Stegostoma tigrinum: one gene and its partners. The protein of the gene in region 4 interacts with the protein of the main gene of each other region in a pairwise test. Links are inferred from orthologs where the notes say so. Each region holds a gene or a part of one and is shown on either strand. Other genes may lie near its edges.

The links.
Region 1: the proteins of multifunctional procollagen lysine hydroxylase and glycosyltransferase LH3-like (region 4) and ehmt2 interact in binary tests that used the Homo sapiens proteins (3 or more experiments, as listed by UniProt). The two-hybrid records come from large-scale screens. The link is inferred for Stegostoma tigrinum from reciprocal best matches to the Homo sapiens genes PLOD3 and EHMT2.
Region 2: the proteins of multifunctional procollagen lysine hydroxylase and glycosyltransferase LH3-like (region 4) and efhc2 interact in binary tests that used the Homo sapiens proteins (3 or more experiments, as listed by UniProt). The link is inferred for Stegostoma tigrinum from reciprocal best matches to the Homo sapiens genes PLOD3 and EFHC2.
Region 3: the proteins of multifunctional procollagen lysine hydroxylase and glycosyltransferase LH3-like (region 4) and rab3ip interact in binary tests that used the Homo sapiens proteins (3 or more experiments, as listed by UniProt). The link is inferred for Stegostoma tigrinum from reciprocal best matches to the Homo sapiens genes PLOD3 and RAB3IP.

The regions. Positions count from the first base shown.
Region 1 is NC_081387.1:20,687,242-20,695,040, forward strand, and holds the start of ehmt2 (histone-lysine N-methyltransferase EHMT2), read right to left. Parts: upstream 3,445-7,799; 5' UTR 3,415-3,444; coding exon 3,388-3,414; intron 739-3,387; coding exon 654-738; intron 1-653. UniProt on the Homo sapiens protein: Histone methyltransferase that specifically mono- and dimethylates 'Lys-9' of histone H3 (H3K9me1 and H3K9me2, respectively) in euchromatin.
Region 2 is NC_081365.1:42,803,003-42,811,324, forward strand, and holds the start of efhc2 (EF-hand domain-containing family member C2), read left to right. Parts: upstream 1-4,827; 5' UTR 4,828-4,902; coding exon 4,903-4,944; intron 4,945-8,322. UniProt on the Homo sapiens protein: Microtubule inner protein (MIP) part of the dynein-decorated doublet microtubules (DMTs) in cilia axoneme, which is required for motile cilia beating.
Region 3 is NC_081371.1:45,501,085-45,508,622, forward strand, and holds the start of rab3ip (rab-3A-interacting protein), read right to left. Parts: upstream 3,294-7,538; 5' UTR 3,063-3,293; exon of another isoform or gene 2,892-3,062; intron 2,633-2,891; exon of another isoform or gene 2,515-2,632; intron 1-2,514. UniProt on the Homo sapiens protein: Guanine nucleotide exchange factor (GEF) which may activate RAB8A and RAB8B. Promotes the exchange of GDP to GTP, converting inactive GDP-bound Rab proteins into their active GTP-bound form.
Region 4 is NC_081398.1:8,547,472-8,554,958, reverse strand, and holds the start of multifunctional procollagen lysine hydroxylase and glycosyltransferase LH3-like, read right to left. Parts: upstream 3,118-7,487; 5' UTR 2,180-3,117; coding exon 2,098-2,179; intron 1-2,097. UniProt on the Homo sapiens protein: Multifunctional enzyme that catalyzes a series of essential post-translational modifications on Lys residues in procollagen. Plays a redundant role in catalyzing the formation of hydroxylysine residues in -Xaa-Lys-Gly- sequences in collagens.

The DNA of each region.
Region 1 (7,799 bases), on a different chromosome or scaffold from region 4:
GAGGGAGAGAGGAAAGTTTTAGGAGGGTAGTTCTGGAGCTCAGGCCTGAGCAGCTAAAAGACACAATCACCAATGACGCAGCAATTATAATGGGATCAGGCTCAGATGAAGCAGCCAGTTCGAACTTCTGGCTGAAGGTAAATGCAAATGTATCAGCCTTATCTCTTGCACTGCTGTACTTCCCCAACACTGAATACATGAGCAGCACGGTGGCTGAGGTGTAACCACTGCTGTCACACAGCACCAGGGATCTGGGTTTGATTCATTATCTGAAAAGGCTCAGCTACAGTCTACCGAAATCATTTCAACAGCATGATATAATCCTAGCTCTCTGTCCTGTTATTTGACATTGGGTAGGTTGCCACTTCATACAGACTCACCACGCTTCCATCCAATCTCACTGACTTTCCATTTTCCCACATTAAATTCCATCCGCTACAACTCTGTCTTTTGACCCAACTAGGAAAGTGACAAAAGATCCCAAGACACCACACAGGATGGAGTCTCTCCCTACCACTGTAATGGTCAGCGACCCTAGCCCCATGGAGACTTCCAGAACCAGATCGCCATGTCTTCTCTCTCTCTACACTCTACTCTGTGTTGCTGTGTCCTTTGCTGACAGAACAACTGCTGTCTTGAATCTGTAATCTTACCTTGGACTAGTTCACAGCTAGGGCTCGTGTCAAGCACCAGGAGTTCTGGTTCTGCTGTAGCTTCAACTGGGCTGTTAGCCACCACCTGTGAAAGGAAAGCAAAATAACTCACAATGTTCCAGGGGAAATGTATCAATTTGATGATCCTACCTCAACATCTCCAACAAATCCACCCACCCCAACTCCTCACAGCAAGACAGGAAGGGTCTCATGAGGTTGAGGAGATTGCACTCCAGAAGAATGCTAAACCTCTTTCTCTCAGGCTCTGCTTTTTATTTCAAAATCACTCCCTCCTTTTGCATTCCATATATCCCTGCTTTCTGTTGGAATAGTGTCACAGGGGGCTGAGCTGGAGGCACAAGGAGGGGAACAGTACAGATAGGGAAGTGACCCAACACACCAAAGAGAAACAGTGTCTTCTCTGTTTTGAGCAAAAAAACCTATCCTACACCACTAGACACTGAAAAGTTTACAACACAAGCCAAGGAACAGCAGCTGCTGGACCACTCTTTTCTCTGACAAATAAAAAGTGTTGCCTTCAATTGATTACTCAATTCTGGGATTGTAAAGAAACGGGCAGATCAGTCCATCTAGCTAAAGCTCCACACAACCCTCTTCATCCCACCTTATCACTGCACCCTTCTTTTTCTTTCTTCTTCTTATGGTCATCCAGTTCCCTTTTAAGAAAAAACTATGTCAATTGTGTCAATTGCTGTCTGGGTACAAAGTTCCACATTCTGGGCAAAAAAAGTTCTTCCTGAATTCACGACTGAATTTATTAGTCATTAGGCTGGGGTGGACAAAATTAGAAGTCACACAACTTCAGGTTACAGTCCAACAGTTTCTTGATGAAGGAGCTGTACTCTGAAAGCTTGGGATTTTAAATAAACCTGTTGGACCACAACCTGGTGTCGCGTGACTCCTGGATGTATTACTAACTGTCTTATATGTGTGGACCCTAGTTTTGAACTAAAAAGATAAGTTATGCTAAACAAGTATTGAACCTGATTACACCACATTTAAGAGTATTGTATGGAGTTCTGGTACCATATAATGAAAAAAATATATCAGGCACTGGAGAAGTGACAGAGAAGATTACTAAAGATAGAAACAGAAATGTGTGGGTATACATATCAGGAAAGGAAATGCTGTAGGATGACCTAACAGAAGTCTTTGAAATGATGAGCAGTTTTGATTCAGTCAACATTGTAGGGCTACTGGGAGATTTGGCTTCGCTTAACCAACAACGTCTGGCTGGATATAGAATTGTAAAGTTTTACAGCATGGGAAAAAGGTCTTCAGCCTATGGTGCCAGTCAAACATCCATCTACTCTAATCCCATTTTCAAGCATCTTGCCTGCAGCCTTGTACATTATGGTGTGTTAAAATATTTATCTTCATCTAAGTACTTCTCAAAAGTCTTAACACATCTCGCTTCTAGCATTGTTTTAAGCAGTGTGTTCCAGACATCCACAATCCTGTGAGTAAAGAAGGCTTTCCTTAAATGACGTTTAAACGTTCTGCTTCTACTTTAAAACTTTGCCCCTTGGCTTTTGATCCTTCAGAGGGGAAGCATTTTCTCCCTATCTATCTTGCCTCCTGCAACTTTGTGTAAATCAAATCAAATTCAATTTCAGCTTTCTCTGCTTTAAGAAAACATCAGCTTATCTCTTCATAGTGGAATCACATCAGCCCAAACAACATTCTGCACCCTCTCTAGATGCAGTAACATACTTCCTTTGGCGTGGCAAAACAGAACTGAAAAAAGCTGTAGTCTAACTAACATTATAAATAGTTCCATCATACCCTCTTCGCTCTTGTATTCGATGCCTTGAGTAATAAAAGCAGTCTGTTTGACATGGGAATGCATTATAGCCGAGATACCCTTCTGTTCAGTCCTCCTCTGACACCAAATCTTACACCTTCGCTGCTCAACAGCGGTAAATCTGACCGACTTCCCTCCCGCCACTCAGAAATAGGCCATGTGTCCACTTAACAAGCTAACTACCTCGGACAGTCTTGCATTTAACCTAATATGTCTTTGACAGGCGGTTTATATTGCAGCATTTCACCTAAACGATCATCAAGATTGGTAAAGAGAATCAGAAGGAGGTGCGCAGTACAGTCGAACGAGTCAATGTGGTAAGTTTTCAAGCATTTTAAAATCGCTAACAAAAAACGAGAATGTGCTGTTAACGACATAAAAGAGAGAGTTTTATTGAGCTAAAGAGAAAATAACTGGACAGAATCGCAGGCTTGCAAGTTAATCAAAATACACTGCCGAGAAAAAAAAATTGCACAGCAACAAGGCAGCATGCCTTAACTGTACAGTCGGCCAGATTCGTACCCCAGACCTAGGATAACGGACAACCCGCAACGTTATCAGAGGCAGTTTATACACTCTGCAAGATATGGGGATCGGCAGTCAATTACACAGTACATCGAGGCCAAGCCGAAGCCTGCATAACGCATATCTCCTACGCCACCAACAAAGGGAGGTCACTACATCACACAGATTACAGGGTTCCAAATATTTCTCCACCCCAAACCTCGTATAGCGCATGTCCAAACACTCCAAGAGAATGGAATGGATACATCACACAGGATAAAGGGTTCTACAGTCAATCATCGTAGCCCAACCCTAACCCTGTGTAATACGTTCCGCCACGAGCCAACAATAGGGAGCCAATGCGCTACACAGGATACAGGGTGAAGAGAACAGTCGCCCGCTAACCTCCGCCCGGAATCGCGCATAACGCATCCAATCAGTCCAACGCAAGGGGAGTCGATGCGTTGTTCAGGTTCCCTGGGCCCGGCTGTCAATCACTTGGTTCCTTCCCCCTCTCCGCCTCACAAAGCGCCCGAGACCCATGGCCGCCGTGGACTCGGAGCCGACGGAGCAGCAATGAGCGAGGGAGGGGAAAACGAAAAAGCCTCGGTTTTAGATGTAAGCCAGGATGGGATTTGAGCGGGGTGGGTGAAGAGAAGTCTAAGCGCCCCCGATGTAAGTGAAGAGTCATAACAATTTTTTAATCGGAAAGAGGAATTCCCTTCCCTCAGCGGCTGTCTCACCTCAGCATCCAGGGAAGCCATGGCTCCCGGCCCGTGACGTCATTGCGCAGTGGAGGGGGGCGGGACCTAACCTGCGCGGGGCGTGGCCTAGCCGGATGAAGGGGCGTTGCCATCATTTAAAGGGCCAGTGCTGCTTTCAAGAGGGAGTGGAAAGAGCTCAGTCCACGTCGGTAATAAAGTGTGAAGCTGGATGAACACGGCAGGCGAAGCAGCATCTAGGAGCACAAAAGCGGACGTTTCGGGCTCGCCTTCTGTGGTGAAGGGTCTAGGCTCGAAACGTCCGCTTTTGTGCTCCTAGATGCTGCTTGGCCTGCCGTGTTCATCCAGCTTCACACTTTGTTATCTTGGATTCTCCAGCATCTGCAGTTCCCGTAGGAGTGAGTTGCTCTTGATGCTGGAATCTGTACTGACAACAACAACAAATGTTGGAGATCGCAGCGGGTCAAGCAGCATCCATGGAGAGAGAGAGAGAGCAAACTAATGTTTCAAGTCGAGATAGCTCTTCATCAGATCTAGTGAAGTGTGGAAGGGACAGCATTTATGCTATTGTTGCGAAGGTAGGTGCAGAGTCGTGAGAGAGAAAAGACGTTGATAGTTCAGATTAAGAGACCAGAATGCGAGAACTGTAGAACGATGATGTGTCCAACTGCCAGATTTAGAAGAGCAGGCAAGGTTTTTCTGAAGAAGGGTTTAGGCTGTAAATGTCAGACTTCCTGTTCCTCTGATGCTGCTTGGCCTGTGTTCATCCAACTCTACATCTTGTTGTCTCTGTCCCTCTGAGGTGGTGAGAGAGGAGACAGCACATGGTGACAGAGAATGTAACAAGTAAAGCTAAAGGAAAGGTTAGGAGTAGCAGTTTGTTCACAATTTGAAGGTGCTGAACTTAATATTAAGTCCATAAGGCTAGTCTGATAATGAGACTGGAGGTGTTCTGCAAAGCAGTCACTCAGTCTGCGTTTGGTTTCTCCAATGTAAACATAAACTGGGTCACAGCTTTGCAGATCGACTCCAGTCTGTACGTGGCCAGTCATTTTAACACAACAGACTGCTTGCATGCCCAGTTGTCTGTCTTTGGCATGCTGCGGTGCTCCAGTGAATCACAGCACAAACCAGGGGGAACAACATCTCATCTTCAGACTAGGCCATTTACAGACCTCCAGCATTTGTTGTACTCAGTCCATGACTTGGTTATATCACAGAATGGTTACCATCTACAGAAGTTGCCCATTTTGACCTGTTGTGTGCGTGCACAAAACAACCGTCCAAATGAAAAACAGAAAGCTGGCACACGGTGCAGCAGGTAATCAGGAAGGCTGATGGAATGTTGGAAAACTGCAGATGCTGGAAATCAGAAAAAAAAAGAAATATAGGAAAAGCTCAGCAGGGCTAATAGCATCTGTGGAGAGGAAGCAGAGTTAACATTTCAGGTTCAGTGACCCTTCAGAATTGTCAAGAGCAGAAGCTGCCAGACTTGCTGAGCTTTTCTAGCTATTTCAGATTTTTGTGTCAGCAACAAAAACAGAAGACACATCTGAGGAAGGGTCACTGGACCCAAAACAATAACTCTGATTTTTTTCTTCACAGATGCTGCCAGACCTGCTGAGCTTCCAGCAACTTTTGTTTTTGTTCCTGATGTATCTGCAGTTCTTCTGGTTTTTATTCAGTTTTTGTGTGTTGTGGAAGCAGGGATGGGATTTATTTCATGGGTTTTGGAGTATAAGAGTAGAGACATCTTATTATAACTGTAACAAGGTACTGGTGAGAACGCATCTAATATACTGAGAATATTTTGTTCCCTTATTTAAGCATAGGTATTATTTCAGTTTAGGCAGAGAGGACACAGAGACAGTTTAGAAAGATGATCTCTGATATGGAGGCATTGTCGTCCGAGCACAGGCTTAACAGGTTGAGACCCTACTCACAGGAGTTTAAAATGAGAGGGGATCTCATTGGAACATATAAGATGATGAAGGGACACTGACAGGATAAATGCTCAGAGGATGTTTCCCATCACGGGAGAGCCTAGCATAGCAGACATAGTCTCAGAACAAAACAGCATCAGTTTAAAACTATGAAGAATTGTCTTTATAACTCCTTGCTACAGACAGCTACGGAGTAGAGTCTTTATATGTATTTATGGCTTAGATAGATTCTTGATCAGTACGGGTAATCAATGGTTACAGGAAAAACACAGAAAAGCTGACATGAGGAATGTCAGATCAGCCATGATCCTATTGAATATTGGAGCAGGCTCGTTGGACCAAATGCCTATTCCTGTTCCTATTTCTATAGTCTTAACACATGCATTTAGAGCCACTTGTCATACCCCTGCACTCACTTCCTTTTTCAACCCAACTCTCTGTTGAATGCCTTGATTGAAAGTGCCCCCATGCATTCTCAGGCAGCACATTCATGTGACCTACACCACTTCTGAATGAAAATATGTATCTCTGTTGTTTATTTTTTCAATTTCTTTCATTCTGGACCTTCATGCTCTCAATCAGCAATGGGAATAATCTTTTTTCTATGTTGCCCAAATTTCTCAAGATTTGAATACTGCCATCAAATCTCCTCTCTCTTCTGCAAGAAAAGCAGTTGCACCTTCTCCAGTCGATCTACGTAACTGAGGTTCCTCATACTTGGACCCATTCTCTTGAATCTTTTCTGCACTTCAATGTCTTCTTGTATTTCCAAGAGCTAGACTCAGTACTCTAGTGGCAGCTGAAACACTATCTTTTTCAAGTCTAACACAACCTAATCTTAAGTCCATGTTCCAATTAATAAGGCCTAGGATACTGTATGCTTTCTCAACTGCGCTCTTGCCAGTTCCAATGTCTTATTCGCATATACATCAAATTTTCTCTGCTCCCAAATGCTCTTTACTTTATACTGTCTATCTGTGTGCTTCCTACCAAACTCAATTACCTCAGGGATGTCCGCACTGAAATTAATCTGCCACTTGTCTGTCCATACCACCAATTTGTTTGCATTCTTTTAAATTTCTACAGTATCCTCCTCACAGTTCAAAATGCTTCCAAGTTTTGTGTGACATGCAAATTTTGTTCTTGTACCCTGTGCATCAAAGGCTAGGTAGCTAATATATATCTTCAAGAGCAAGGCTACCAGCACTGAACCCGGGCAGCTCCACTTCTTCCAACCCAAAAGCATTCATTAACCAGTACTTTTTGTAACTTGTCACTCAGACAATTTGAAATCCATGATAACAGCATCTTTATTTATTCCATCAACCATGACTTTGTTCACAAGCCTGTTGTGTGGCACTATGCCAAACTATTGTATGTCCATGTACACCATACATATAGCATTACCTTCATCAATCCTTGCTGCTACCTCATCAAACAACTCCAGGAAGTTAGTAAAACAGCATATTCCCTTAACAAATAGAACATAGAACATTACAGCACAGTTCAGGCCCTTTGGCCCTCGATGTTGTGCCGACCTGTCATACCGATCTGAAGCTCATCTAACCTACACTATTCCATGTACTTCCAATCTGTGCTGGCATTCCTTAATTATATTTGCATTTGCCCAAGTGGCTATTAATGTTGTCCTGAATTCTTTTTTCCCCAGAAGCTTCGTCAGCGCCAAAGTTAAACTGGCTGGTGTAATCTTCACACTCTTGTTTTGAACAAGAATCTAACATTTGCAGTGCTGCGGTCCTCTGGCACCACCTTGAGGTGAAGTCCTTTATACCTTTAACATTTGCCCTGTTCTGCCCTTTACACAGCCATATTCTATAGATCTGAAATCCCCACATTGTGACAACTCTATGATTCTTGCTTAGCTTTGTAAATTCCTTGCAAATTCCCATTCCTCCTGCAGTCTTCCCACTGGCTAGTTGCCGATGGGCTACACTGAGCAGTGGAATTGCACCTTTTCTGTTCCTTAGAGTTGCTCGTAAGATGCTGCTTGGCCTGCTGTGTTCATCCAGCCCCACACTTTGTTATCTTGTAGCCAAATCAAGTGGTCTTTTATTCTCTGGAATACCCTTTATCTCCAGATTTGCAATGCATTTCTCAGTTGGTACCATCACCTGTTCCCCTTTTCATCCTT
Region 2 (8,322 bases), on a different chromosome or scaffold from region 4:
CCATAGCTTTTATAACACACTATCTCCATTAAATTACAATCCTGTCCAGTCTCCCATCCTGCAGAAACTTGGGCTCAATCAAAACTCTGTTATCAGTATCTTATCCCACGATAAGATTTGTTCTGGCTCACAAATCACCCTGTCCTTGATAACACACATTGAATCTTTCACCAGTGTCTAATATAAAATTCTCATCTTCATTTTTAAATAACGTCAACAACTTTCTCCAGTTCTATAACTAGCGATACATGTTCATTCATCCAATAACTCTGCATTCTAGCAGCTGTATCCAAATGATGTCTCTTCTGTATTAGCAGGTAAACACTACAATAAGCAACGAGCTGCAAAATGGTAGAAAACTGAAACAAATTATTGGCGAAACTCACTTCTGATGCAGTCACTTACTCTGGGAAGTATTGGACTGATTAAGAAGTGCGAGGGTCGAAACATTAACTCTGCTTTTTTTCCCCTCCCCAACAGATGCTGCCTGACCTGCTGAGTTTCACCACCATTTTTTTTTAAAGCAGATACACAGTACACCCAGGTTTGTATACTTCCACCTTCCTTTTAAATCCTCATTAACTGCCACTCTTCGAGCTCTTCTGTTCTCTTCCCTTGCTGAGAATTCTTGGGACAATTTCAGGTTAGAGGCGCTATGCAAATAGTTGCTCCAAACTTTTTATTAGTTTTAATCTCAGCTATCGATGGGAGGTAGGAGCAATGTATTATTTGCTTCAGCAGCAAGTCAGGTAAAAACGGAATCTGGAGGCATGAGCAAGAGCCGGATAATTTGGAAGAGGATGCAGCGACTGCCAATTAATACGGATGGAGACTATAACAAAATATGAACCATCAAGACCCAAGGAATGAGTGATAATGGGAACTGCAGATGCTGGAGAATCCAAAATATTGAAATGTGAGGCTGGATGAACACAACAGGCCCAGCAGCATCTCAGGAGCACAAATGCTGATGTTTCGGGCCTAGACCCTTCATCAGAGAGGGGGATGGGGTGAGGGTTCTGGAATAAATAGGGAGAGAGGGGGAGGCGGACCGAAGTTGGAGAGAAAAGAAGATAGGTGGAGAGGAGAGTATAGATGGGGAGGTAGGGAGGGGACAGGTCAGTCCAGGGAAGACGGACAGGTCAAGGAGGTGGGATGAGGTTAGTAGGTAGGAGATGGAGGTGCGGCTTGGGGTGGGAGGAAGGGATGGGTGAGAGGAAGAACAGGTGAGGGAGGCAGAGACAAGTTGGACTGGTTTTGGGATGCAGTGGGTGGAGGGGAAGAGCTGGGCTGGTTGTGTGGTGCAGTGGGGGGAGGGGACGAACTGGGCTGGTTTTGGGATGCAGTGGGGGAAGGGGAGATTTTGAAGCTGGTGAAGTCCACATTGATACCATTGGGCTGCAGGGTTCCCAAGCAGAATATGAGTTGCTGTTCCTGCAACCTTCGGGTGGCATCATTGTGGCAGTGCAGGAGGCCCATGATGGACATGTCATCTAAAGAATGGGAGGGGGAGTGGAAATGGTTTGCGACTGGGAGGTGCAGTTGTTTATTGCAAACCGAGCGGAGGTGTTCTGCAAAGCGGTCCCCAAGCCTCCGCTTGGTTTCCCCAATGTAGAGGAAGCCACACTGGGTACAGTGGATGCAGTATACCACATTGGCAGATGTGCAGGTGAATCTCTGCTTAATGTGGAAAGTCATCTTGGGGCCTGGGATAGGGGTGAGGGAGGAGGTGTGGGGGCAAGTGTAGCATTTCCTACGTTGCAGGGGAAGGTGCCGGGTGTGGTGGGGTTGGAGGGCAGTGTGGAGCGAACAAGGGAGTCACGGAGAGAGTGGTCTCTCCAGAAAGCAGACAGGGGTGGGGATGGAAAAATGTCTTGGGTGATGGGGTCGTGATTGTAGATGGCGGAAGTGTCGGAGGATGATGCGTTGTATCCGGAGGTTGGTGGGGTGGTGTGTGAGAACGAGGGGGATCCTCTTTGGGCGGTTGTGGTGGGGGCAGGGTGTGAGGGATGTGTTGCGGGAAATGCGGGAGACGCGGTCAAGGGCGTTCTCGACCACTGTGGGTGGAAAGTTGCGGTCCTTGAAGAACTTGGACATCTGGGATATGCGGGAGTGGACTTCCTACAGACTAAGGGGGTGGCCATGGGCCCCAGCTATGCCTGCCTCTTTGTAGGTTACGTGGAACAGTCCCTCTTCCGCACCTACACAGGCCCCAAACCCCACCTCTTCCTCTGTTACATTGATGACTTTATCGGCGCCGCCTCTTGCTCCCCAGAGGAGCTCGAACAGTTCATCCACTTCACCAACACCTTCCACCCCAACCTTCAGTTCACCTGGGCCATCTCCAGCACATCCCTCACCTTCCTGGACCTCTCAGTCTCCATCTCAGGCAACCAGCTTGTAACTGATGTCCATTTCAAGCCCACCGACTCCCACAGCTACCTAGAATACACCTCCTCCCACCCACCCTCCTGCAAAAATTCCATCCCCTATTCCCAATTCCTCCGCCGCCACCACATCTGCTCCCACGATGAGGCATTCCACTCCCGCACATCCCAGATGTCCAAGTTCTTCAAGGACTGCAACTTTCCACCCACAGTGGTCGAGAATGCCCTTGATCGCGTCTCCCGCATTTCCCGCAACACATCCCTCACACCCCGCCCCCACCACAACCGCCCAAAGAGGATCCCCCTTGTTCTCACACACCACCCCACCAACCTCCGGATACAACGCATCATCCTCCAACACTTCTGCCATCTACAATCTGACCCCACCACCCAAGACATTTTTCCATCCCCACCCCTGCCTGCTTTCTGGAGAGACCACTCTCTCCGCGACTCCCTTGTTCGCTCCACACTGCCCTCCAACCCCACCACACCCGGCACCTTCCCCTGCAACCGCAGGAAATGCTACACTTGTCCCCACAACTCCTCCCTCACCCCTATCCCAGGCCCCAAGATGACTTTCCACATTAAGCAGAGGTTCACCTGTACATCTGACAATGTGGTATAACTGTATCCATTGTACCCAGTGTGGCTTCCTCTACATTGGGGAAACCAAGTGGAGGCTTGGGGACCGCTTTGCAGAACACCTCCGCTCGGTTTGCAATAAACAACTGCACCTCCCAGTCGCAAACCATTTCCACTCCCCCTCCCATTCTTTAGATGACATGTTCATCATGGGCCTCCTGCAGTGCCACAATGATGCCACCCGAAGGTTGCAGGAACAGCAACTCATATTCCGCTTGGGAACCCTGCAGCCCAATGGTATCAATGTGGACTTCACCAGCTTCAAAATCTCCCCTTCCCCCACTGCATCCCAAAACCAGCCCAGTTTGTCCCCTGATAATAAAATGTGAGGCTGGATGAACACAGCAGGCCAAGCAGCATCTCAGGAGCACAAAAGCTGACGTTTCGGGCCTAGACCCTTCATCAGAGAGGGGGATGGGGAGAGGGAACTGGAATAAATAGGGAGAGAGGGGGAGGCGGACCGAAGATGGAGAGTAAAGAAGATAGGTGGAAAGAGTATAGGTGGGGAGGTAGGGAGCGGATAGGTCAGTCCAGGGAAGACGGACAGGTCAAGGAGGTGGGATGAGGTTAGTAGGTAGATGGGGGTGCGGCTTGGGGTGGGAGGAAGGGATGGGTGAGAGAAAGAACCAGTTAGGGAGGCAGAGACAGGTTGGACTGGTTTTGGGATGCAGTGGGTGGGGGGGAAGAGCTGGGCTGGTTGTGTGGTGCAGTGGGGGGAGGGGACGAACTGGGCTGGTTTGGGGATGCAGTAGGGGAAGGGGAGATTTTGAAACTGGCGAAGTCCACATTGATACAATTAGGCTGCAGGGCTCCCAGGCGGAATATGAGTTCTATTCCTGCAATCTTCGGGTGGCATCATTGTGGCAGTGCAGGAGGCCCATGATGGACATGTCATCTAGAGAATGGGAGGGAGAGGGAACCATTTCCACTCCCCCTCCCATTCTCTAGATGACATGTCCATCATGGGCCTCCTGCAGTGCCACAATGATGCCACCCGAAGGTTGCAGGAACAGCAAATCATATTCCGCCTGGGAACCCTGCAGCCATATGGTATCAATGTGGACTTCACCAGTTTCAAAATCTCCCCTTCCCCTACTGCATCCCCAAACCAGCCCAGTTCATCCCCTCCCCCCACTGCACCACACAACCAGCCCAGCTCTTCCCCCCCACCCACTGCACCACACAACCAGCCCAGCTCTTCCCCCCCACCCACTGCATCCCAAAACCAATCCAACCTGTCTCTGCCTCCCTAACCTGTTCTTCCTCTCACCCATCCCTTCCTCCCACCACAAGCCGCACCCCCAGCTACCTACTAACCTCATCCCACCTCCTTGACCTGTCCGTCTTCCCTGGATTGACCTATCCTCTCCCTACCTCCCCACCTATACTCTCCTCTCCACCTATCTTCTTTTCTCTCCATCTTCGGTCCGCCTCCCCCTCTCTCCCTATTTATTCCAGAACCCTCTCCCCATCCCCCTCTCTGATGAAGGGTCTAGGCCCGAAACGTCAGTTTTTGCGCTCCTGAGATGCTGCTTGGCCTGCTGTGTTCATCCAGCCTCACATTTCGTTATCTAAGACCCAAGGAATGACGGCCGCTGACCTTCTCAAGATGGCGAACTATTTCTTGTCGTGTTTGTCGAATGCATCACACATTCGAATTTAGGAAAAACAACAACGGATTGAATGGAAGTCGGTGCAAGCAAAAATGTGAAACTGGGACAGAAGGGTTCACCGCGCAAGAATCTGCCAAAAAAAGTTTTTTTTTGTTGAAGCCCTTCTTTTAATGGCGGAATGTACGGCCCAGCATAGCGACGTCACTGTCACCGAGGCAACGGAGACTCAAACATAGAGAAGAGCCTGGAGCAGAGGAAACATGACTTTACCACTCTTACCTGGGAACACATTCAACAAGAATGTGAGTAACTTCTCTGCAAGTAATAAAAATCGACACATTTAAGAAACTGTTTTCTCTTTCAAAATTGACTTCAACACCAACCTTTGAGGAAACCCCGGGGAGTAAATGTTTGCTTGTTTGTAACTCATTTTTTAAACAAAAATTTCCATACTGTTAACATTCAACATTGTTATTCCTACTTTCTGTGCACGAGTAGTAAATACTTCCTGCAGGGTTTTGGCTAGTTGGCACAACACTGTATGAGATTGTCAGGGTGGTCACAGTTGCGTCTTAATGTTTAGAGGGAACCACTGCACTGACAATGATTGAAAATACCACTAATAAAAGGCCTGGAATATTCTCAGGGCTGGTGGTGCACTGGTTTCTTTGTTTGGAGATGATCACACCAAACTATCCAGCTGCCTACAGAAGAGATGAGTAGAGTGAACACTGGGTTGGATAGGTGTTCTGTTTGATATATGAAAACTGTCATTCAAAAGATGTCATCCATTGGAATTCCCACTTCCAATGGGTTCATGTCTGCACTTCTTGCAGTTTTATAACATTGAGTGATTGTTGAAAGATGCTTCCATCATTTTACAGGAAATTCCCCAAGTGACCACCAACAACAAAGCCCGCTCCAGCAATTCCTCCTTTTGGCCTCAAGTGCTAAACTTAGAGTGCTGTTAAATTGGCCTCTTGCACCCAAGACAGTCCTCCCTTCCTCCTTCTGTCTCATGCCTTGTACAGCCTTCACTCTGCTGACCTTACTAACTTCAATCTTTAATCTCTGTTAAAGATCTGCTTTTCTTTCAGCCCAAAAACATGGAGACTGAAAGTCTTGTCACAGTTAGCCCTGTTGCTTCAGCCTTTATTTTCAGGTATGAACATCTTGCACCTTGCTGTCAGTAAGTCTTAACATGTGCAATCCTGTCCCTGTGGAAACCACGTAGGCTTGTTGTCAAACAGAATACAAAACAGATCACATTACCAATTTACCTTAAACTATGGAGATGGTTTAAAACAATATTCTAAAATCTTGGAGATAGTAAGAACTGCCGATGTTGAATTCAGAGATAATCGTGTGGATCTGGAGGAGCACAGCAGACCAGGCAATGTCAGAGGAGCAGGAAAGTTGACGTTTTGGATCAGGACCTTTCTTCTAAAATCTTGCATTTGTACCAAAGCCACCATCTGAGTTGGAACTGTATGACTAATCCTTCACTGTCAGGAATTCTAAATCTTGTAACTCCCTTCCTAACAGTACTGTGAGTGCAGACAAGATGGATTCAGCAATTTAAAATGTGGCTCACCAGCACCTTCACGAAAGCAATCCAGGATGAGCAACAAATGCTGGCCTTGCTGGCTCACACCCTATAAACAAATCTATTTTTGAAGAAAGGGGCAAGCTCACCTTTATAAAGCAGGTTTACTTATGGATTTGAAAATGTGACTTGTGATACTAGGTGCACTTTTATCCTAAAAAAAATTGAGTAAACATAACTTTCTAAAACAACAGAAAAAGTGCAATTTTTTGAAGTTCTTTCTTCAGCCTAAATGACCTATTTATATTTTCTTTGGGTGTCTCAATGCCCAAGGATCACCAATTTATGTTAATAATTGTGTTTCTGATTGTCAGGGCAGAGTTTCAGACGGAAGCCGTTTCATACTGCCTTTATGCAAGTGTCCAAAACCCTCTAATTATTTGAGTTCATCAACGTTAAAATTTTACTAGGTGATTTTTTTTATTATAGAAGGAAAAAAGGTAGAGGTGTAAAATGTGATACTATGATAATTTTGTGTATCACTATCAAATCTATATGAAACAGATTTGAAGATGATTTTGCATTTAAATTGCTGAACTGCATTTTAGTTTGTATTTGAGCATTCTCTTTGAAGGTTTGTACTTATTCTATCTTTAGAAGGAGTTGCTTTAATATTCTGTTTGGTCGATTCAAAGTGTTGTATTAACAGCAGGTGGTAGAATTAACTACTATGAAATTGAGCACATTTTTAAAAGACTTACAAGTGACTACAAAACTATTCTGCTACTGCTGCTGTTACAGAACTGAAGACCCGAAACCATTGCTTCTGTTTCTAATATTTCTCCCACCACCCCCCTTTTATTTTTCTCTTTACTTCTTCTAGATTCTTTAATGTTATCATGCCTTCATTCATTTCTTCTCTTAGGCAATCTATCTTCCCCAATCGCTGCCCAAGTCATCAGGAATCTTCCATCTATTGTCCCATGCATGCTCCATATCTAATAAACCTACAGCTTCCCTCCATGCCCCTCTTGTCATATCTGATGGGTCTATCAAGGCACATTTCTAGGTAGTTAGAAAAATTTTCGATTTGAGTTAAAAAGGAGGTCATGTGGATGAAGTCACATCAAAGATACCCTCCATTCTGTTGTTAGGCACTAACACTTAAATAGGATGGACTTGAACAGATCAAGCAGCTCTGTAATGTGAGTAGAATTGTAATTAACCGCAATCTGTAATTTCATTGCCTGGCAAAGTTCTACTCTACCACAACGATCATACCTAAAAATAAGGTTTCAGCCTGGTGAAGTGACAACACAGGTACAGCTACAACATTGGCATCTACCCAGCAATGTGGAGCATTGCCCAGTTATATCCTGTGCAAAAAAAGCAGGAAAATCCAATCCCGCCAATACTGCCCTAGCAGTCTACTCTCCATCATTAGTAAAATGGTGAAATCAGTGACCGTACTATCAAGTGGCACTTGCTTGACAATTACCTGCTATTGATGTTCAGTTTGAGTTCTGCCAGGTCCATTTGGCTCCTGACCTCATTACAGCCTTGGTCTAAACATGGATCGAAGAACTGATCTCCTTAGGTGAAGTGAGTGACTGCCTTGATGTCAAGGCAGGATTTGACCAAGTATGGCACCCAGGAACCCCAATAAAGCTGCAGTCAGAGGAAAAACTGTTACACTTGGCACAAAGGAAAATGGTTGTGGTTGTTGGAGATTAGTCACCTGAGTTCAAGGACATTTCCACAGAAGTTCCTCAGGATAGTATCCTAAGTCTAAGCGCCTATGCCATTTTATTAATAACATTCCATGAAAAGGTCAGAATTGGGGATATTTGCTGATGAGTGTACAATGTTCAACATGATTTGGGACACCACAGATACTGAAATAGTCCATGTCCAAATGCAGCAAGACCTGCACAAGTGAAAAGTAACATTTGTACCGCACAATGTTGTGCAATGACCGTCTCCAATGTTGGAGAATCTAACTATCAATTCCTGATGTTCATTCATTCAATGACATTACCATTGCTTAATTTCCCACTACCAACATCCTAAGGTTTCTATTGACCAGAAATTGAACTGAACCAGCCATACAAATACTGTGGCAACAAGAACAGGT
Region 3 (7,538 bases), on a different chromosome or scaffold from region 4:
ATACTGCAAGTTAGGAGTGCGACAGTGTTGGCAATTTTTAGTTGTTAGCTGTTCATTAAAAGGGACTGGGTGAAGATAATGACAATATACAACTGCAATTCCATTATCAGCAGCAAGATGTAATTTAGATTCTCTCTCTTTCTGGTTTCAGTTTTATCAAAACAACTACACTTAATAAGCATATTTAATGCTCAAACCTCAAAAAGCACAGCTGCAAATTAGCTTTATGAAACAATTTGACATGGAGCCACAAGGAGCTAATAGAGAGCAGATGAAGAGATGTTTGGTCAAGGATATCAGTTTTAAAAGGAATGCTTTAAAGATGAAGGGACAGAAGAACGGAGTGCACAGGGACTATATACCAGAGCATTGGACTAAGGAAGTCAATAGTACAGCAATCAAAGATGTCAAAAAGACAAAACTAGAGTAATTCAGAGACATGACAGTAAAGGAAAGGAACAAAGGAAGAGGAGAGACAAATAGAAAACTCTGAAAACAGACAAGAATGTTGAAATTGAAATACAAGACCAGGTGCAAAATTTCAGGCAAGCTTATGTTTTAGACATAAAAAGTTAAAGATGGGAGATTAATCAGGAGAACACTGTCATAGTTAAGTCTAACGGTAAAACAAGCCCGCTGATAATACACTGATACCAAAGGGTTGAGTCCATGGCTTGGTCTCTCTCTCTCTCTCTCTCTGTTGTAGTAATCAAGTTACTAACCAAAAAGTAGTTAGTAGAATAAGATACACTGCCAATATAATTCAAAAGACAATCGATTAAAATCATCCAAAAGGGAGAAGTTGTATTTTTCCTCAAAGTTATAGCTGCCCCTTTTCAGACATGTTTGTAAAACAGTGACAGACTTGGTAATATTTTAAACATGTCTCACACCAGCTGTTCCAACATAGGATGAAGACAATTTTGAACAATGACATTATAAAAATATTTTTGAACAACTACAAAGAAGAACAATATTTAAATTTCCATGTCAGTAATATATATCTTACAGCTTGAAAGGTAGTAGCTTTGTACATTTCCCAGTAGGAAGGCAATGGAACATTTACCTTTATTACTAAGAACGGAGACTGCAGTGTAAACATAAGGAAATCTTACTATAACTGTACATTAGCAAGACTCTTGGATTATCCTGTACAGTTTTGGTCTTAGTTTTGTACTTGCATTGAAGTCAGCTCAGAAAAATTTACTATGCTGCTTCATGGCACAATGGAGTTGCGGAGAGAAAATATTTAGCGAGATATACCAATTGGTATTAAGAGTAAGAGTATACCCAACTAAAACATTTTTGCGCTTTATGGGGCAGATCCTGAAAATGTTTTCTAGAACCAGGCAGCACAATTTTAATGCTATGGTTTGAATTGAATGGAACGCAAGATCACAGTTGATCGAATCAGGGCTTCAACTCCAATTTTCTGCCTGCCCCCAGAATTTTACAGTCTCCTAACAAGTCAAACGTTCATCTAACTCAGCATTGAAAAGATGAAAACCCTGTTTTAAGAATCTTTCCCCCCCCCCCCAAGACAGCAAAACGACCCGCAGATTAAATGACTCCTCTACTCAGTTTTAAATGTAAAACAGCTGACTTTGAAATTGCGATAATCTCATCACTGCTATTGGCACCACTGGAATAAGCCAAAATACCATTTTCCAAACCTGCTAGATAATTTCTACACTAATCTGATACATAGTAGCATATATTATTTCCACAATTTTATGTATAGACATACCTATTGCATACAAAGACAAAAGGCTTTACAATATTCAGTGTTCACATACATCACTTAAGCTTTCTTTTCATTATCGTCAGATGAAAATCCGATTACATACTTATTCTAACACATCCATCACGAGTTAAAAAATGGCAATAAACAGGATTATTGTGATAAAGGATGATGACGATAGCATACAATACTGAGTAGCTTCAGGAAGCCTGATGGCTTGTCAGCAAAATAATGTTATAAAACTCGCCACCAGGGATTCCTCGGGGCATACAAGGACACGTAATGAACTACAACTGCACTGTATGGGAGCGAACGCAGGACTGCAATTTTCGATCTGATCATCCGAACAATTCGGCAACGAACATGTTGTAGATGAACCAGAAACCTAAAGTCCAACGTGTCTTGTCAGCTGCACAAAATAACTACATACTGTTCATGCTATACTCATTTCGCGCTAACATGAGAATGGTGACTGCCTATAAAATTACCGCAGTTGGTTAATGTTTTTACAGAGAAGTAAGCGGAATTCGCTTTAATTATAAAATATATACAATAAAGAAAACGATGTTTAAATCACTCAAGTAACTCAATGTATGATAAGATTCGGAAAACCCCAGAATTCTCTTTCGCGTTTAACTGCAAACCCGTTGCAGGATTAACTGCATTATCTTATCTCATCAGTGTCTAATATCATCAAATTGTGGGTGCAGAGAACAGCCCCGGAGAAGAAGTGTCTGGATTTTATACATTTAAAAACAAAACGATCGTTCAACCTGATGCACGATTATAGACGAGTCTCCATCCGCAGAGACATGCAGCAGTGCGGGTTTCACCGCTGTAACTAGGCCGGGAGGGCTCGGAGGTAAAGCCTTCCTTCTCCTTAAAGGGGTGAATCAACAAGGTCCAACTGCCGGCGGCCGGCAACTCGGTCCATTCACACAAAAAAAAATCAGAACCCGCCACTTCCCCTTTCATGAACTCAAGTGGAAAATAATGAAATGTCGAGCCGTTAAAACCGTTGGTCTTGCGGAGCGTCCTGGATGCAGGAGGAAGGAGAGAGAGTTGTATTTACAGGGTCCCGGCAGATACTGCCCAGGACTCCTCAGGTAGAAACATAAGGTTTCATTTAACGTCACAACTATTTTCTCACCTGACGCCTGCCAAACAATAAGCTTTCACCTCAAACCGACAAGAAAAAGTCCACTGTCGGTGACTCGATGGGTTTTTATTTTCCACCTTCCCTCCTCCTCCGTTCACCTCAGACGCCGTATCTTTCGACCCAACCCAGCTCAACTTTCCTCCACCTGTTTTCACCGTTTACCTCTCTGCTTGAACACTTGCACCAAGCCACCACGGCTGCGCAACAGCGACTGTTTCTTCTCGCTCATTTCACCATCCCCTCCGTCTGCCTGCTGCAGCTGCGCAATAGCAACTGTTTCTTCTTCATCCTATCCCCACCTTTCTCCACGGCTGCGCGGTCCGAGAGACTTTCCCTCACCCACACCTTTCCTGTACGACTGCGCGGTCCGAGAGACTTTCCCTCACCCACACCTTTCCTGTACGACTGCGCGGTACCGGCTTCTCTCTTCCAGCACACAGCCCCATAACCAACCCTCATTCCCCTCCGTATGCGTCTGCGCGCTACCGGCATCTTCCCTCCTCCCCAGCCTACCTAGCATGCGTGCGGCTGCGCGGTACCGGCGGTCTCCTCCGTTCCCCTGTCAGCTTGCGTGTGCGTCTGTTCGTGTTGTTGCTCGCTGAGCAGGGAAATGAGCAAAATGTTATGAGTGCTGAGTTAAAACCAAAACAAGTGCTAGGAACATTTTGTAGGTCAGGCAGAATATATCCGGCAACATCAATGGGGAGAGGAGAGAGCAAGAATAACGAAGGAAAGGGCATAGAAAAAGCAGAAATGCGAGACAAGGGAATCGAAGAGGAGGGAAAAAAAAGACATAATTCCGGGGTTTAAAAGTTTGGGATGGATAGTTGAATGGTGGGTTTGGAGCAAGGGTGACTGAACTCTAATTAATTGTTATTGAATATAGGGCGGGCCGGTGTGAACTCGCTACGTTGAATGGCTTGCTTCCGCATGTGAGAATTCTGTGTGAACGTAATGCCTGTTCAGTGCAACTGAGACCAAAGCATCTAATTGCTAGGTATTTTCAAATCAACCTGTTCAGAGGTGTTACGACACATAACATTTGGGAGTAGGAACACCGCTGCAGTGCTACAAGAGCTCAAATTTCTAATCTCTACAGAATATTGGTGTTGTGATTCAGCTGCCTTCTTTGTTAACTACGTGATTTGGTGGGCTAAATGATGCAAGTGAAATCAATATCTGAAAAAGTTAATTTTAGGCAATAGCACCTGATATCATGGGTGGAGAGGGATGCAATGTCTGAGCAGTTAAGTAGTGACTGGCTGGGCAAAGAATGTATGGTCACAGTTTAGTTTTGACTGGTTCAGTTTGCTTGCAAACTAATTATGTTTGGTTCGAGATGTCTTACATGCAGGCCACTGCAATTTAAAGGGACACTTTTTATTGTGTGATTGCTAAGTGCTCAGTAAAATGCTGTTGGCTTCGCTGGCTAGACCAGCATTTATTGCCAATCTCTAATTGTTCTTCAGCAGGTGGTGATGAGATGCTGTCTTAACCTGTTGTTGTCAAGAAGGCAGTTTTGAGATTTTGGTCCAAGATAATAAAATGTGAAGCTGGATGAACACAGCAGGCCAAGCAGCATCTCAGGAGCACAAAAGCTGACATTTTGGGCCTAGACCCTTCATCAGAGGATGTGCTCCTGAGATGCTGCTTGGCCTGCTGTGTTCATCCAGCTTCACACTTTATTATCTTGGATTCTGCAGTTCCCGTTATCACTTGAGATTTTGGTCCAATGATATTGAAGGAATAGCAACAATCCGACCCCACCACCCAAGACATTTTTCCATCTCCCCCCCGTCTGCTTTCCGGAGAGACCCCTCTCTCCGTGACTCCCTTGTTCGCTCCACACTGCCCTCCAACCCCACCACACCCGGCACCTTCCCCTGCAACCACAGGAAATGCTACACTTGCCCCCACACCTCCTCCCTCACCCCTATCCCAGGCCCCAAGATGACATTCCACATTAAGCAGAGGTTCACCTGCACATCTGCCAATGTGGTATACTGCATCCACTGTACCCAGTGTGGCTTCCTCGACATTGGGGAAACCAAGCGGAGGCTTGGAAACTGCTTTGCAGAACACCTCCCCTCAGTTCGCAACAAACAACTGCACCTCCCAGTCGCAAACCATTTCCACTCCCCCTCCCATTCTTTAGATGACATGTCCATCATGGGCCTCCTGCAGTGCCACAATGATGCCACCCGAAGGCTGCAGGAACAGCAACTCATATTCCGCCTGGGAACCCTGCGGCCTAATGGTATCAATGTGGACTTCACCAGTTTCAAAATCTCCCCTTCCCCCACTGCATCCCTAAACCAGCCCAGTTCGTCCCCTCCCCCCACTGCACCACACAACCAGCCCAGCTCTTCCCCTCCACCCACTGCATCCCAAAACCAGTCCAACCTGTCTCTGCCTCCCTAACCTGTTCTTCCCCTCACCCATCCCTTCCTCCCACCCCAAGCCGCACCCCCATCTACCTACTAACCTCATCCCACCTCCTTGACCTGTCCATCTTCCCTGGACTGACCTATCCCCTCCCTACCTCCCCACCTATACTCTCTCCACCTATCTTCTTTACTCTCCATCTTCGGTCCGCCTCCCCCTCTCTCCCTATTTATTCCAGAACCCTCACCCCATCCCCCTCTCTGATGAAGGGTCTAGGCCTGAAACGTCAGCTTTTGTGCTCCTGAGATGCTGCTCGACCTGCTGTGTTCATCCAGCCTCACCTTTTATTATCTTGGAATTCTCCAGCATCTGCAGTTCCCATTATCTCCTAGAATGATGAGTGGCTTGGCGAGTAACTTGCAGGTGGCCTGTTCCCACACATCATCTGCCATTGTCCTTCAGTGCAATAGAGCCAAAGTTTAGAAAGGCATTGATGAAGGAGTTTGAGTGAGTTGCTGCTGTACGTCTTGTCGATGGTACATGCTGTGCCGCTGTCACTATGCTTCAGTGTTGAAGAATGACGAATGAGATGACAATCAAGTGGCCTGTTTTGTCCTGGAGATGTTGAGCATCTTGACCACTTTGGGGAGACGAGATCAGTTATTCACTATAGAATTCCTCGGTCTCGTCCTGCTCTTGAAACCACAGTATTTATGTCCCTGCTTCTGAGCAATGCTAACAACCAGTTGATAGTGGGGATGTTTCAATGGTAATGCCATTGAATGTCAAGGGATCATGGTTACATTCTTTTTTAAAAGAGATTGTCAAGCAATGACAATGGTGTGCAGTAAATGTTACTGATAACAAAGTGTGAAGCTGGATGAACGCAGCAGGCCAAGCAGCATCTCAGGAGCACAAAAGCTGACATTTCGGGCCTAGACCCTTCATCAGAGAGGTAGGAGTAAATGTTACTTGCTGCTTAGCACTCCAAGCATGGATGTTGCCCAGGTCTAGCTGCATACGGACTTGCACTGCATGTGTGAGGAGTTGTGAATGGTGCAGAATATTTTGCTATCATCGATAAATATCCTCACTTTGACCATATGTTGGAGAGAAAGTCGTTGATGAAACATATAAAGAAAATTGGGCCTAGGATGCTCCCATGAGGAGCCTGCTCTGGGACGAAGATTGAACTCCAGAGACTACAACCATCTTCCTTTGTTGGTAGGTGCTGGTGTTGGACTAGGCTGGACAAAGTCAGATGTCACACAGCACCAGGTTATAGTCCAACAGGTTCATTTGAGATCACAAGCTTCCAGAGCACAGCACTTTCATCAGGTCAAGTGAGCAAGAAGAACACACAGACACAGAATTTACAGGTAGAGAGATCAAAAGTCCATGCAACTGGTGTGAGTGGAGTAAGGAATATTAGGTCGCTGCAGCTGTGAGTAAAGTATCAACAGCCGAATAACAAGTGAAGGACCTATAATCTGATTAAGTGAGGCAGAGAAATAATTACAAGAAACAAAAAAAAAGGTGATGCTGGAGACAGGCTAAATGAGTAATCAGATTATAGGTCATAGCTTCAATTGTTATTCAGTTGTTGACACTTTGCTCACATTGTGTAACACTCTTGGTCACCATGATGTGGAGGTGCTCGTGTTGGACTGGGTGGACAAAGTCAGAAGTCACATGACAGGTGATAATCCTGAAACCTGTTGGACTATTACCTGGTGTCATGTGACTTCTGACTTTATCTTCCTTTGTGCCAGGTATGACTCAACTATTGGAGAGGCTTTCCCCTGATTCCCATTCAGTTCAGCTTTGCTAGGGCTCCTTGATGCTATATTCTTGTCAAATGTTACCATGGTTCAAAGCCATTCATTGTCACCTCATCTCTGGCATTCAGTTGGGTTGTTCAAGTTATAGTCTTGGCCCAAATAAGGTCAAGATCTGAGTGGCCCTGAATGTATGAATTTTGCTGATCAAATACCACTTGACAACACTACCAATGACTCTTTCCACCAGTTTGATGATTTAGAGTAGATCACTGAGTAGAGTAGATGTTACTGTTGTAAGTCTTATGTACTGTTGCTGGAATGTGGACATGGCCCATAATCTTTTCAGTATCCAATGCCTTTAGCCATTTCTTGATATCATGTGAAATAACTTAAATTAGCTGAAAACTGGCATTTGTAATGCTGGAGATCATAATAGGTGGCTGAGATGAATCATTCACTCAGCACATTTGGC
Region 4 (7,487 bases):
CCACCTCTTCAAGGGCAACTAGGAACAGGCAATAAATGCTGGCCAGCCAGTAATGTTCACATCCCACAAGCGAATAAATAAAAAGAGCTTATAGATCTACACACGATGCCAGACAAGGACCTTGTTTAATTGTCTCACCCAAAAGACGGCAGCTCCAGTAGGGCAATAACATTCCCTCAGCTCTGGCACTCCAAAATGAGGTCATAAAATCGTAAGAAATAGAAGCAGGAGTAGGCCATTCAGTCCTTCTAGCCTGTTTCATCATTCAACAAGATTATGACTGAACCATTTGGGGCCTTAACTCTACTTACCAAAGGACCCTCAGGGAAGAGTTTCCTCCTCATCTCCATCTTAAACCAGAGACCCCTTATTTTGTAACTATACCTCCTAGTTCTAGATACCCCTACGAGTCAACATCCTCTCAATATTCAGCCTATAGAGCCCCTTCAGAATCCTATACTAGCATATTCCAATGTCAACTTGGACATTTTTTGTACCCCAGCGTCCAGAGTGGGGACCTGAATTTTTGACTATCCTGCAATGATACCAATCCCCTTAAGGACCAATCATTTTAAATGATCAGAATGGAAGGTAAACGGAATTATAGATGGCCTTTATTTCAAAAGAATGGAGAATCAAAGTAGGGAAACTTTGCTAAAGTTACACAAGACAATCGTCAGGCCACAACTGGAATATCGCAAACAGTTTTGGGCCCCTTATCTAAAGGAAAGATATGGTATGAAGAAACTGTCTTACAAGGAGTGGTTGAATCAGTCAAGCATGTACTCATTGGAATTTAGAAGATTGACAGGAGATGTTATTGAAACATAAAGGTCCTTACAGAACTTGACAAGGTAGATGCAGAAAGGTTATTTCCCCTTATGAGAGATTCTAGGACCAGAGGGCATAATCTCAAAATAAAGAGTCATACACTTAAGACAGAGATGGAGAAGAATTTCTTCTTTCAGAGGGTAGTGAATCCGTGCAATTCTTTATCACAGACGGCTATTGAGGCTGAGTCATTAAACATATTCATGACTGAGATCAACAGATTTTTTTAGTCAGTAAGAGTTATGGTGAAAAGGCAGGAAAATGGAGTTGAGTATTATCAGATCTCATTGCATTGCACAGTGTATTTTATGGGCTGGACAACTTTTGATCCTTTGTCTTCTGGAGGCCAATCTCTCTCAGAATGTCAGGACTCTCCTTCTCAGTGGGAATATCAGAATTTTCTCTCTCTATCCAACTGGAAATGTTAAGATTTTTTGCTTCTCTGGGAATGTCAGGCTTTGTCCTCACAATCAAAATGCCAAGATTTATCTCTTTCTCTGGGAACGTCAGGATTTTAGTGCATCTCTCTCATTGGAGATGTCAGGACTCTCTCTCTCTCTCACTTAGAATGTAAAGATTTTCTCACTCGCTGAGAATATCAAGATTTTCCAAATCTTTCACTCACTGTGACTGTCACGTTTTCCGTCTGCATCCCAACCTCAGAAAACATCAGTATTTTGAGTCTCCGTCGTTCTGGGAACGTCAGAATTTATCGAGTCTCCCTCACTGAGAATGACAGGATTTTCCAACTCTCTCTCGCTCAGAATATCAAGTTTCGCCGAGAATCTCGCTCATTGGGAATGTCAGGTTTTCCATCTGCATCTTGTCCTGAGAATGTCAGGATTCTGCGAATCTCTCTCTCACGGGGAATGTCAAGATTTTCTCTCAAGTAGAATATCAGGATTTTCCGATTCCCTCTCTCACTGGCAGTGTTCAGATTTTTAAAGTTTCGCTCTTAGTGGAAACGTCAGAATTTTCCATGCTTCTAAGTGGAAATGTTAGGATTCTCTTTCTCACTGAGAATATCAGGATTTTCCGATTCCCACCTCCCGCAACACACACACACCAGGAAATTCAGAATTTTCCAACTCCTCCTCTCACTGGGAAGGTCAGAATTTTCCGAGTCTCTGTCTAGTTGGGAATGTCAGGATTTTCCGAGTTACTTTCTAATTGGGATTGTCAAGAATTTTGCGTCTGCCTCCTGACCTCGCTGGCAATGTCATGATTTCAAGCCCTCCCCCACCGCCAACTGCTTTTTTTTCTTACCTGTGGAGACGGGCTTGGGGCTGGAAGCTGAAACCCAGACGGATCCCAGCAGGATACAGAGTACTCCCAGCAGCAGACCCATCCTTCGGATCCCCCTCGGTCCCTATTCCGTCGCCGCTTCCCGTCGCGTCTGCGGTTGTCGCAACTGGCTCGCTACATTGAAAGCGATTGTTGGACCAATCCGGGCTCACGCTGTGCCCTTGATTGACAGCTCACCCTCTCCAATCAAAGTTGGTAAGTTGGTGGTAACATCCCTGTCCCCACCTCTGCCCCGCCCCTAAAAGAACTTTCCCAAATAAAAGTTTAGGGGAAAGTGAGAGGGCAATCATTCATTCAGTACATTGCTGCCACGTCTGCAGAAAGTTGGCAATCAGTCTGACAGAGGGAAGGAGCTAAGGGTACATAAAGAGAGGTAAAGAAAAGGACCATGAAAGGGAGCGAGAATAAAGGGAGATAAAAAGATACGAGTAAAGAGGAGACAGGACAGAGAGAGGTCGAAGTTGAAAGCGAGGACAGAGGGAGAGCGAAAGAAAGAGGTGAAAGAGAGAAAAGTAGAGACGACAAAGGGTGAAGGTGAAGAAAAGAGAACAGTGGGAGTGGTTGAAGATCAATTATTATCTCATTGAATACCTACTTCTGCTCCTATGTCTTATGGAGAGAGGGGACAGAGGTAAAGAGGAAGGGTGTTAGAGGAAGAAGAGGGAGACAGAAAAGGGACAGAGGGAAGGTTAAGAAGGTAGACAAGAGAAAGAACAGGGATAAAGGGGAAAGGAAACAGTGAGACTGAAAAAGGTCAGAAATCACATGACTCAGGATGTAGTCCGACAGGTTTACTTGAAAAAGCAAATTTTCAGATAAACGGCTTGGACTATAACCCCGTGTTGTGTGATTTCTGATCTTGTCCACTCCGGGAAGACAATGGGACCTCCACATCATGAGAAAGAAAGGGAGTGGGTAAGAGGAAAGATAGAAACAACAGGGGAGGAAAGGGTATCAGAGATAATGGGAACTGCAGATGCTGGAGATTCCAAGATAATAAAATGTGAGGCTGGATGAACACAGCAGGCCAAGCAGCATCTCAGGAGCACAAAAGCTGACGTTTCGGGCCTAGACCCTTCATCAGAGAGCTGATGAAGGGTCTAGGCCCGAAACGTCAGCTTTTGTGCTCCTGAGATGCTGCTTGGCCTGCTGTGTTCATCCAGCCTCACATTTTATTATCAGAGGAGGAAAGGGACTCACTCCATAACGTCTGCAGAGAACATTCCAGAAAACTGGATTGCTTCTGAATAAATAACATCCTGTTTCTTGAAATAGAAAACTAGATTCTCCTGTGAATCTTAATCGAAATATTCAGCAGATTCTAGCATTCATTCTGAAAAACGTTTGTGCAACTTTGGACCACAGCCTAGTTTTTGAATGAAGCAAGAAAGATAGACTAAATTTATGAAGTATCAGTTACATCCTCAACTCTAAATAACAATCCTATTATATTGGATGTGTGAGAGCAGAGTGTAGTAGGGAGGAGACAGGAGAGAGACTTGGAACAGCAAGGGGTGGGTGCATGGAACTTTTGCTGCCTGAGGGTATGACCCCAAAATTTGAGCTCACGGTGACATTTGAGAAACTTGAATTATGGATTCTGGGCTAGTACAGAGGCCTCACAGTGCCAGGGATGCGGTTTCAATTCCAACCTTCGGTGACTGTGTGGAATTTTCTTATTCTCTGTGACTTTTTTTCTTCTGGGTGCCTCTGGTTTCGTCCCACAGTCCAAAGATGGGTAGGTTAGGTGGATTGGCCACGGTAAATTGCCCAATAGTGTCCAGGGATATGTAGCTTACGTGTATTAGCCATGGGAAATGCAGGGTCACAGGGATGAAGGGTCAGTATGGATAGTATGCTGTTTGGGGGGGTCAGTGTGATTCGATGGGCCAAATGGCCTTCTTCCACACTGTAGGAATTCTATGACTTTTGATCACAAACACCCTCCCGAAACCCATCGAACTAGATGTCTCACGCTCAATTCTAATTGCCAAATCTGTAAATAAAACCAGGACAGAATTTAGCATTAGGTCAGGAAGTGCCACTCTCGGAGTTGCCACCATTCAGCTAAGGCATTGAACTGTGGACCTGAGTGCCCTCTTGGAAAGAACATGACAGCTCTATTAAGGACACCATCTAAACGAAGAGCAAAGCCTTCTCTCTAACACGTCATCCACTCTCTGAACAAATTTTCATCTCAATCTCCCAGACACCTCTCCATTTTCTCCACCTCACTTACCCCTCTACTCCACCTCAAGCCACAGTGCCCTGCTGCATCTTTCTCCTTGCTAACCCAAGCACATGCACCCTTTTCTGCCCCCTCCTTTATCTACATCGTCCAATTTCTCCCCTTCACCGTCATTTTCTATACTACACCCCTCCCACATATTTTGTCTCTGCACCCTTTTTCTCCTCCCTCAAACCCCTTTAATTCTCAAAGATTCTCTCCATAATCTGTTTTTTCCCTCCCCTCACATTCCACTCTTTCCTCTAACACCCGCTTGGTTCTCTCCACTCCCAATTCATTTTGTCTTCCTGCCTCCTCTTTCCAACCTCTCCTACTCCCTTGCCTCTAGCTTCTCCCTGCCACCCCTATTCTGTTCCCCTTTCCATCCATCTTATACCTCCTTGCTATACCCTCTCTCCTCTTACCAACTCATCTTTCCCCTCCCTCTATTCCCCTTCCCGCTCTCATTTCCTCTTCTCCCGTCCAACCCTCTTTCTCTTCCACCTCCTTCCCCTTCTCTTACCCCCACACTCCTCCATACCCCCTCACCTCCCATTACCCCCTCTGCAAACCCCATTTCCCCCTTCCCTCTCACCCTCTATTCCTCCATCCCCATTCCCCCTCACCCCCTCCCTAAATCCCATTTCCCCATCCCTCTCACCCCCCCATTCCCCTCTCTCGCCCTCTATCCTTCCCTCACCCCCCATTCCCCTCTCTCACTCTCTACTCCTCCCTCACCACCCCATTCCCCTCTCACCCTCTACTCCTCCCTCACCCCATTCCCCTCTCTTACCCCATTCCCCTCTCTCACCCTCTAATCCTCCCTCACCCCCCCTATTCCCCTCTCACCCCCCACTCCTCCCTCACCCCCAACTCCTCCCTCACCCCCATTCCCCTCTCGAACCCTCTATTCCTCCCTCACCACCCCATTCTCCTCCCTCACCCCCCCATTCCCCTCTCTCACCCTCTAATCCTCCCTCACCCCCCATTCCCCTCTCACCCCCCATTCCCCTTTCACCCCCTCTATTCCTCCCTCACCCCCCCATTCCCCTCTCTCACCCTCTACTCCTCCCTCACCCTCCTATTCCCCTCACCCCCATTCCCCTCTCTCACCCTCTATTCCTCCCTCACGCCCCCATTCCCCTCCTACCCTCCATTCCCCTCTCACCCTCTATTCCTCCCTCATGCCCCCATTCCCCTCTCTTACCCTCTATTCCTCCCTCATGCCCCCATTCCCCTCTCTCACCCTCTATTCCTCCCTCACGCCCCCATTCCCCTCTCTCAACCTCTATTCCTCCCTCACGCCCCCATTCCCCTCTCTCACCCTCTATTCCTCCTTCCCCCCCCCACCCCTGCATTTTTCTCTCACTGCCCACCCCCCCCCCCATTCCTTCCCCTCTCCCCGCCCATCGCCCGCCTCTGCTTCCCCTTGTGGGACCGTGCCATCTATGCCCTGCCTACGGAGTGCGTCCAGAGGGAGTACGATGGGAAGTGGCCGCGGGAAAGGCGCTATAGCAATTCACCTGGCTGTGTTTTCCCCGGCGCCTTGGCGACTCGAACACACACCTCCCCAAACCCCCTCAGGATTTCCAAATACCCAAGGAATTTTCTACAGTCCGAGGCACCCACCAAACCCAGACTGTTGGGGGGGGGGGGGGAGGGATGAATAAAAACGAAAGGCGACGTGAAGAAGAATAACGAGAGAAAATATAAAGAAAAAAAAACACCAAATCGGCGGGACGGCTATTAAAGGACGAGACGAGAAGAAGAAACAGCCGCCTGGCAGCGTCCTGCAGCGGAGGCCGGGAGACCCCGCGCGTTCCTTCTCTCGAACCTTCGGACGGTTCCGGAACATTCCAGAATCGCCCCCGCCCCTCCCACCCAGGGAATAGTCTGCTCAGAAACTCAGGCGTTGGGGAGGGGGGGGGGGGGGAGAAGAAGGTCCTTTTAAAGAAACCCTCAGATTAACCCCAGCCTCTCCGCTTTTCGACGGAAATTTTCATCTCTTTATCTCCCCACGAAAGGAAGAGGACGCCTGAGCGGATTAATCGCTGGATTATTTTATTATTTCGCTGGATTATTAACGTCATTGTGCGTCCATTCCGTCCGTGAAAAAGAAGTAGAAAGGTGACCCGGAGCTACACAAGCCGGCGTTTTCGACCAAAAACCGACACTTGTTTTTCTTCTCACGCTGAGCTTCAGAGAGAAAAGAAAACTTGACCAGGAACCATAGGGAGCGCAGCAGCTCATCTTCCACCCTAAAGAGCTACAGCAATTGGGGTGTGGGCATTGGCCCATCACGCCTGTTCATACCTCCTCAGGAACAACCACCTCACTTATCTCATAGCCTTGGCATTGCAAGTGCACTTCTAAATCGCTACAGTCAGAGTACACGGACAGACCCTTTGGTGCAATTCACACCAACCAGGTATCCTAAATTAATCTGGTCCACAGGGACAGTTTTTGGTCCATATTCCCTCTTAAACCCTTCCTATTCATGTATCCATCCAGCCGCCTTTGGATTCTATTATGTAAACATTTCATAGAGTGTGGAAGCAGGCCATTCGACCCCTTGAACCCTCGTAACAGCACATCCACCTCAATAACGCTGCCTTTCCCATGGCTAACTCACCCAGTCTGCACATCCCTGGACAGTGTGGGGCAATCGGGCCTGGCCTGGTCAGGTCAATCGACCCCAACCTGGACATTTTTGGACTATAAAAGGAAACCCATGCAGACACTGGGAGAACATGCAAATTCCCCATAGATAGTCACCTGAGGGTAGAATCAAACTCACGTCTCTGGTACTGTGATGCAGCAGTGCTAACCACTGAGCCATTTTCTGGTAGCTCATTCCATACATGCATCACCTTCTCCATGAAAAAATTTACCCCTCACACCTTAAAACATTGCCCTCTAGTTTTGGACCCCCACCCGGGGGGGGGGGAAAGAACTCGGCTATTCACCCCATCCATACAGCTCATGATTTGATAAACCTCTTACAGGTCAGCCTTCAACAGTTCACAAAAGAAAGCCCCAGCCTATTCAGTCTTTCCCTAAAGCAATAGACAATAGGTGCAGGAGTAGGCCCTTTGGCCCCTCAAGCTAGCACCACCATTCATTA